Arabidopsis thaliana: one gene and its partner. The protein of the gene in region 2 interacts with the protein of the main gene of each other region in a pairwise test. Each region holds a gene or a part of one and is shown on either strand. Other genes may lie near its edges. The genes, in order: AT5G66940 and BPC5.

Region 1 (3,233 bases), on a different chromosome or scaffold from region 2:
TAGGACACTGCTTGAGCAATCCCTTCAAGAAGTCTTGTTCCAAATCATAAAATTCGTGAATGAGAAGAAGGATCATGTTCCTCCCATTAACGATGGTGTAATCTACTACCCTTTTGAGATCACTATCCCAAGGTACATCAGTCTTCATTTATTCACATATCAAACTGTGTTCTAGAGATCTTAGTCTTTAGGTGTAGCGATCCCCACAGACATAGATGAGTGAAGAATGTTCTTTATATCTTTGTTGTACAAGTGTTGAAATGAGTTAAGTTTTGTTTCAGCTCATCGGACTCTGCCTTTGGGATGGATATGTTCAAGAGGATACTACACAGTGGCCATCCATCAATGCTCGGCTAAATTCCATTTTCCACTTAACTTAGTACATATACACTTTGATGTTTCTTGGTGCAGCCTAACTCCAATCAACACTTTCCTAGTTACATTTTCTGTGTAAATATATTATATGTTACCCTCTCCTCGTCGATGGATAATGTTACCTTATCTATGCTTTGTTGTATATAAGTGATGTGTTGTATATAAATTTCAGACTTGCATTTCCTAAACAACGTGGACTGTTCTGTTTTCCAAGATTTCTAAAGTTGGAATTGACATTAAATAGAGCCAAAAAAACAAACAAACAAACAAACGTTTCTCTGATTTGAAGTTTCGTTCACAAGTAACCTAACTAAATAAGAACCAGATCAACTAAAACTGAAAGTTAGGGTAGAGAAGCTAAAAGAAGAAGAAGATAGATTGAAACCCTCCGATGAAGTAGAAGCTGATCCGATAGTCTCTATCACGCTACGTAGTCTCCAGACACGAACCCGACTTTGCTCTCTTGACCTTCAAACTGCCACGTGGCGGGTATTTGAGCAATGTGGCTTGTAGTAGTTGCAGCATCAGTAGCGCCACTTGAAAACGGCCAGACCGTTATTCCTTGCCCATATCTGACGTCCTCATAATACGACCCGTGACCAAGCCCAAGACCAAAAGCATCTGGCCCATTAAACCCGCCACCAGGCCCATTTCTGCTCACGGCGGCGTTGTAGTTGATCAAAGAGCTGAAACCGCCATAGAACGACGAAGCACTTCCCTTCGCCGTCGTGATACCGCCGTTGGAAGACGACTGAGGGAAAAGAACAGGCGTAGCTTGTAAGGGAAAGTTCCGGCTTCCGACAACGGAGGTGGTAGCGGCAGAGGAATAAGTCCGGGAACGTTTTGAGCTTTTACGGGAAACACCACCGACGGGAATGTCACGGAGAGTACCTCCATGAGTCCAGTAACGGCGACAAGACTTGCAGAAATGACGAGGTTGTGAGAAGTTGTAGTTGTTGTAGTAACAGAACTTGGTGTTGGTTGATTCACAGCGAGGACAAGAAAGCTGCTCTTGTTGATCCGTCGGAATCGCAACAGATCCTCCTTGGCCGTGGGGAATCTTAGGAACCCGACGAGATTCACTGAATTCAGAAGGCATGTTGTTGAGAAGAGAGGTTATCTGAAAGTTGAGAGTTTTTGAAGCTTTGGAGAGTTAAAGGTTGGAACTTTGTGATAGAGTAAGAGTTTCCTTTTATGGAGGAGAGGGAGAGAGAGAGAGATGGGGAAGGAGAAGAAAGTGAAGCTTTTTGACAGAGTATGTTGGGTTTATTGTGAACATAGAGAGAGAATAGATATGCTCTGTTTCTTTACTTCATTATACGTAGCTGGTGGCTCTTCTTTCAAGATTTTCTGTTTTGAAATAAAACCACGATTCTCTAATCTCTCCATCCATAATCTGTCACACGTTTTGATGGCATAGACATTAGTGAATGTTGGAAGAAACCAAAATTGAAAATAACTTATGATAAATAAGTGAAAGAAAAATCATATGATTACATTTGCTGACTAACAATGCTTTTGAAATTTTAATTTTAATTATGGTGTTATACACGTCGAATTTCTGAGTTAAAAGTTAAAAAAGGTTTCTACATGCAATATTTGTTTTAAGAAATACATTAAATTTTATGTCAAAAGTACGTGTCTACGGGAAGTGAAGACTGAACTGTGAAGAGAGTAGGCTACATGTAGTAGAGACTATTGAGCTTATCGATGTAAAGCAGTTCCCAATAATACAGCCATTATATTGTTAAGTGTTTAGGAGGGCTCATTAGCCTAATTTGTTGTGTGCATCTTTTCCAAAAAAAGAAGGATTAAATGGTATATGGACCTAAGAGATTGATGGTGTGTGTAGATGTGCTACCAATCACTACAGGTCCTTAATAGAATACCAGTATAAATGCAGAATCAATGCGTTCAGGTCCTCAAAAAAACTACATTTAAAACATCAAGTAAAAGTACTCAACAGTTTTACGTTAAACCAACTTGATTATCAATTTTAAGTTTTGTTATGGTCTTATCTTATCTCTCAGCATGCATCAAGATTAAGACAATGTTTTCAATTTGTTTTATCATTACGGTGTAATAATAGATTATAAATCTTATGTTGTTTAGGAGCTATAAAAAGTAAAAATCTAGACAATACCATGAAGACAGAATAACAATAGTCGGGTGAATTCTGACTTAACATGATCTTGAGGAACAAGACAAATGGATCTTTAAGGTAGAGAGAGAGAGTGTGACAAATGTGATTTGTTCCACAGGAAAGAAGAGAGGGTAGTAATTGTAAAATTGGGGAGGCTAAAAACAGTCAAAAGAGACAGAAGAGATTCGTTTTGTGAAGAGACAGAAGCGAAGGTTGTCGGGTAAAGAATGGATACGGAGAAGCTAGGAGTTAAGAAGCATGCAAATCTTCACTCCCTTTCACACCAAAAAGCATCCAACATTTTGGAGAGAGACATGTGAGAAGTATGTGCCAAGACGTGTCTACACTGGTTCAGAGCCGTCCTTACTCTGTGTACCGACCGGTCTAATCTGGTCAAATTCTGACACACCTTCTCTCTTTATCCCATTCTTTTTGTCCTTTTCCTCTCTGAGTCTCAGTCCTTCTCTGTTTCCTTTTGAAAGGGTGTTTTCGTCATTTACCTTCTGGTCCGTATTTCTAATGGGCCTAATATGTATACCCCTTGGACCATGGGCCTTAACATAAGAGATTTGTGACTGTTGTATTTTAGATGTGAATCTGACACCCTGCTAAACAAACCCCAAGCCGAGTCTATGAAACGAAACCATATATGGGCGGATTTTGTTATGACCCAAATGAAATCAACTACAAACTTACGTGGAAAAAACAACATTGT
Region 2 (4,366 bases):
GAATCATGCGGACTTCAAGAACCGCACTCTTTTCTCATTCGGCTCTGGACTGACCAGCTCGGGAGGACAAAATGATCCCGACGATGAGACCGTATAGAGCAAGAGCTTCAGCGAAAATGAGGATAAGAATCATACCAACGAAAAGCTTTGGCTGTTGAGCATTGGCCCTGTCATCAAACCACAAATTTGCGTATCAAAATGATATAACAGGGGATAGACACTCACAATTGAATTGATATTTCTTCCATTATATTTCATCCTAGAGAAATACGCCATGGCACAAGACATCTCACAGAAGCATGTAATGAACTGATATTTCTTCCATTATAGATTCAACAGTCAGTGAATTGCACATATTCCCTACCAAATTTTCATCAAGTTGAATTGTGACACTAAACTCATGATATTCTGATTCATAAGGGAGATATACTTGTATAAAATTGAGTCTTTTAGCAAATTAGGCTATAAGAGTGAATCTGCAAAGAAGGACACAGAGGATCGTACCTGACACCAGCATCGCCAACGATACCTATGGCCATTCCAGCTGAAAGACCAGCTAGCCCACAAGCAAGACCAGAAGAGAGATGAGCATATCCGTCGAAGAGGTAGTAGGATTTAGCCTTGGGGTTAATCCCGGTACTGATGATAACAGCAATAATCAAACCATAGATACCCAACACACCAGCCATAACAACTGGGACAATAGACTTCATCACCAACTCCGGCCTCATCACACCCATAGATGCCACTCCCACACCACTCTTTGCTGTCCCGTACGCAGCTCCCATACCTTGTTAATAACACAAAGATACACACTCTTTAAGGTCACAATCTAACTATGGTTTACACAAGTAATCAACATGCCTTCGATATGAAGAAAAAGCATAATTGACATAGATGAAAGCAACTCAGCAATTTTGATGGTAACAACGGTAAATCTGTACTTATGCAATTAGTACCAGTCACAGCAATCACAAAACCTGGCAACTCCAGCAAATTTCCCTAGGTAATTTCGATATGTTGGACAAAGAACAGGACACCAAGAAATTCTTTTTTTTTTGTCGGGGACACCAAGAAATTCAACACATACAGATCTAAGCCAAAAAGTCTTAGTTTCTAGAAGATCAGCCTAGACTACATCACCAATGGAGAAAAGACAAAGAAAAAGGATTTAAAACCAGCGTAGAGCAGTTCCATAAGAATTTGATCCACTGACTAAAGATAATAAACTAGAATTTTCGAAAAGGAGAGACATATAATAGTTCAGTGATATCGCTTAGCCTAAACAAATCTAGAGAGAAATTTCTAAGAAAAATCATGAGCAACACACAGATCGGTGAACTTCTCAGGGCCGATCTAAAGCACAAAAGCAACTTTGAGGGAGATCATGAGAACAACAAACACACACAAGATCAGTGAACAATTCAGAACCAAAGAGAAAAGAAGAAGATGGAGATTATAAGAGAGTATAGATGGATATACATGAGAAGACGAGCGCAGCGGCAGCGCCAAGGAAGCCGAAGAAAGGAGCGGTCTCATCGCCACTGAAGGTAGACATCTCTCAGGCGATTCTGGATCTTAAAATATGTGCTTCCTTGGAACACCGGAATCTGATCTCTCTTTCTCTCGCAGATCTCTCTCCGTTGAATATACAAGGATTGAGTTTCCGAGGCTCAAAAGCCTGATTGATGATGAGATATACTACTACTACAACAGCGAAGCGCACACGTCGGGATCTCAACCCGGGTCTACCCGTATTCGACCCAGATTAGTTGCCTTATTCTTAGGCCCATCATACGGCCCACTAGAATGATCCACCAGAACCAAAATCATATCCTGTTTGGCTTATATTTGGAGAGATTGAAACAGAAACGTCTTTGCATTTTTACGAGTAAGATGGATAGACAATAATAACCTTCTTGCTTGCTCTCGTTTAGCAGTTTTAAGACAAGGGTATATTAGTAAATTGAACCGAGAGTACCTGGCTCGTCTTCCACTTCTTGCCACATTACACAGACACCATTTCCAAGTATCCTCAGATCTTTCTCGATTTCCGTTGCTTGTTTCTCCTGAAGGCTCGTTGAAATCCGTAAGTCTTCGATCGTTAATCGTGTTCTTGACCTATCTGTTAATTTCAGCATGCCAAGTTTTTCTCTCTACAATTTTCATTTTCTTCGAATTTTGGTTCTTCTGGGAGCTCTCTCGTCGTTGCTTTAACTTGAAATTCGAACTCTATATATGTTCCCGCGTATCTTACTTGCTCCATTGTTTTCTTCATCGTTTGGTTTGGATGGTATTACGCTGACTTGTGGGATATGATACGATTTCTCGATTTATTTGGGTTAAATGTATGTTATGGAACTGCTTATGATTTGGAGTATTTCTGTTTTTAGTTACTCGTCAGCCTAGTTTCACAATGTTTGATATCAATTTCTCCATTGCAGTTGAAAGTAAGAGGATGGAGAGTGGTGGGCAGTATGAAAATGGGCGCTACAAGCCCGATTACTACAAAGGAACACAATCTGTGGTAAGCAAAAACACTTGAAGAAGCAGATCACTAAAACAAAAAAACATGTTTTCGTTACTTTGAATGAAACCTAAGTACAAACTGTGTGTGTGTGCAGTAGAATGTGATGCCGAAAAAGGAGCAACATAATGCATTGGTGATGAATAAGAAGATCATCTCCATCCTTGCTGAGAGGGACGCAGCTGTCAAGGAAAGAAACGAAGCGGTTGCAGCAACTAAGGAAGCATTAGCCTCTCGTGATGAAGCACTTGAGCAGCGGGACAAAGCTCTCTCTGAAAGAGATAATGCTATCATGGAGACAGAAAGTGCGTTAAATGCTCTTCGATACCGTGAAAACAATCTTAACTACATTTTGTCGTGTGCCAAGCGCGGTGGTTCCCAAAGGTTTATAACTGAAGAAAGCCACTTACCTAATCCTTCCCCTATATCAACTATTCCACCTGAAGCAGCCAACACGAGACCGACCAAAAGGAAGAAAGAGAGCAAGCAGGGAAAGAAAATGGGCGAGGATCTGAACCGTCCAGTTGCTTCTCCCGGAAAGAAAAGCAGAAAGGATTGGGACAGTAACGATGTCCTAGTCACGTTCGATGAGATGACAATGCCAGTGCCCATGTGCACTTGCACCGGGACTGCTCGTCAGTGTTATAAGTGGGGCAATGGCGGCTGGCAATCATCTTGCTGCACAACCACTTTGTCTGAGTATCCGCTCCCGCAGATGCCAAACAAGCGGCATTCCCGAGTTGGCGGCAGGAAAATGAGTGGAAGTGTCTTCTCCAGGTTACTTAGTCGTTTAGCTGGTGAAGGGCATGAGCTTTCCTCTCCGGTTGATCTCAAGAACTATTGGGCTAGGCACGGCACCAACCGCTACATCACTATCAAGTAACCAAGATTTATGAGCCAGTAGCCACTATATATCAAGTATTGCTCTCTCGTCATCCCTTTTGATTTTTTTTTTGTCGCTTTAGATTTAACAATTAGGATCAAAAGTCGAATGAAAGATGAAGTTAGGCTCGTTATTGTTTTTACTGTCGATAGTTCCGTTAAAAGGCAAATATCTAGTAGTACTGTTTTGACTTGGTTTTGTTGTTTTATGTAAATAGTTACATTATCATCTACTTTGTATTATTGTAATTTCAAAATTCGAAATCTCACCCATTAAATCGCAAGAATTTGAACAACTTCAACAAATAAAAAGGAAAAAAATTTAATAATCTCCTTATATTAGAGTCAAGCTTCAACGACTTATGTAGTCTCTTCATCTCAAGCTTACTCTCAAAGTTCCACTTAAAGAAAAGAAAAAAAAGCATGGACCAAAAGCTAAAGACCACCAACACTAGTCCACCACCGCAACCACCAAAGCGTTGGCTTAACCACATCAAGACATTTTTCGACGTTCCTAACCCGAGAATCGTTAGAATCTTTTTTATAGGCAGTTTTGCCACATTTTTCTCCGGAATTGCTTTTGCTTTTGAATGGACATTAAACGGCAAGAACCATAGCGGATTCCAATGGATCATCTACTACGCCTTGTCCCTGATCATTCTTCCTATTCTCATCTGGCTAGGTCTCGGTATTGTCATGATTTTCTCGTCAAGCCACGGTTCAATGCAAGTTGCTAGCTTCATGGTGGAAGAAGAACAGTGTGTCGACGGTTCTGCCGAGAAGAGTGGGAATAAAGAAACTAAAGATAACAATTGTGAGAGTTTGGCGATTGTGGTTAATTCGGCCGATCAGAAAAAGTGCATGGAGAAGATATTTGAGAACAAAACGGCAAAGCTAAAACGCACAGTTTCATTCCCATTGCATAGCCAAGTGCGATCATGTCGGACTAGGTGAGTG

What was found.
Region 1: the proteins of BPC5 (region 2) and AT5G66940 interact in a two-hybrid assay, tested with the Arabidopsis thaliana proteins (one large-scale study listed by BioGRID).

The regions. Positions count from the first base shown.
Region 1 is NC_003076.8:26,727,193-26,730,425, forward strand, and holds AT5G66940 (Dof-type zinc finger DNA-binding family protein), read right to left. Parts: upstream 1,524-3,233; 5' UTR 1,475-1,523; coding exon 797-1,474; 3' UTR 627-796; downstream 1-626. Other genes in the region: AT5G66930 (meiotically up-regulated protein), read left to right, coding at 1-132, 282-357.
Region 2 is NC_003075.7:18,144,522-18,148,887, reverse strand, and holds BPC5 (basic pentacysteine 5), read left to right. Parts: upstream 1-1,996; 5' UTR 1,997-2,089; intron 2,090-2,444; 5' UTR 2,445-2,458; coding exon 2,459-2,527; intron 2,528-2,624; exon of another isoform or gene 2,625-2,627; coding exon 2,628-3,410; 3' UTR 3,411-3,537; downstream 3,538-4,366. Other genes in the region: VHA-C3 (vacuolar-type H[+]-ATPase C3), read right to left, coding at 35-167, 505-790, 1,483-1,558; AT4G38905 (uncharacterized protein), read left to right, coding at 3,833-4,359. UniProt on the Arabidopsis thaliana protein: Transcriptional regulator that specifically binds to GA-rich elements (GAGA-repeats) present in regulatory sequences of genes involved in developmental processes.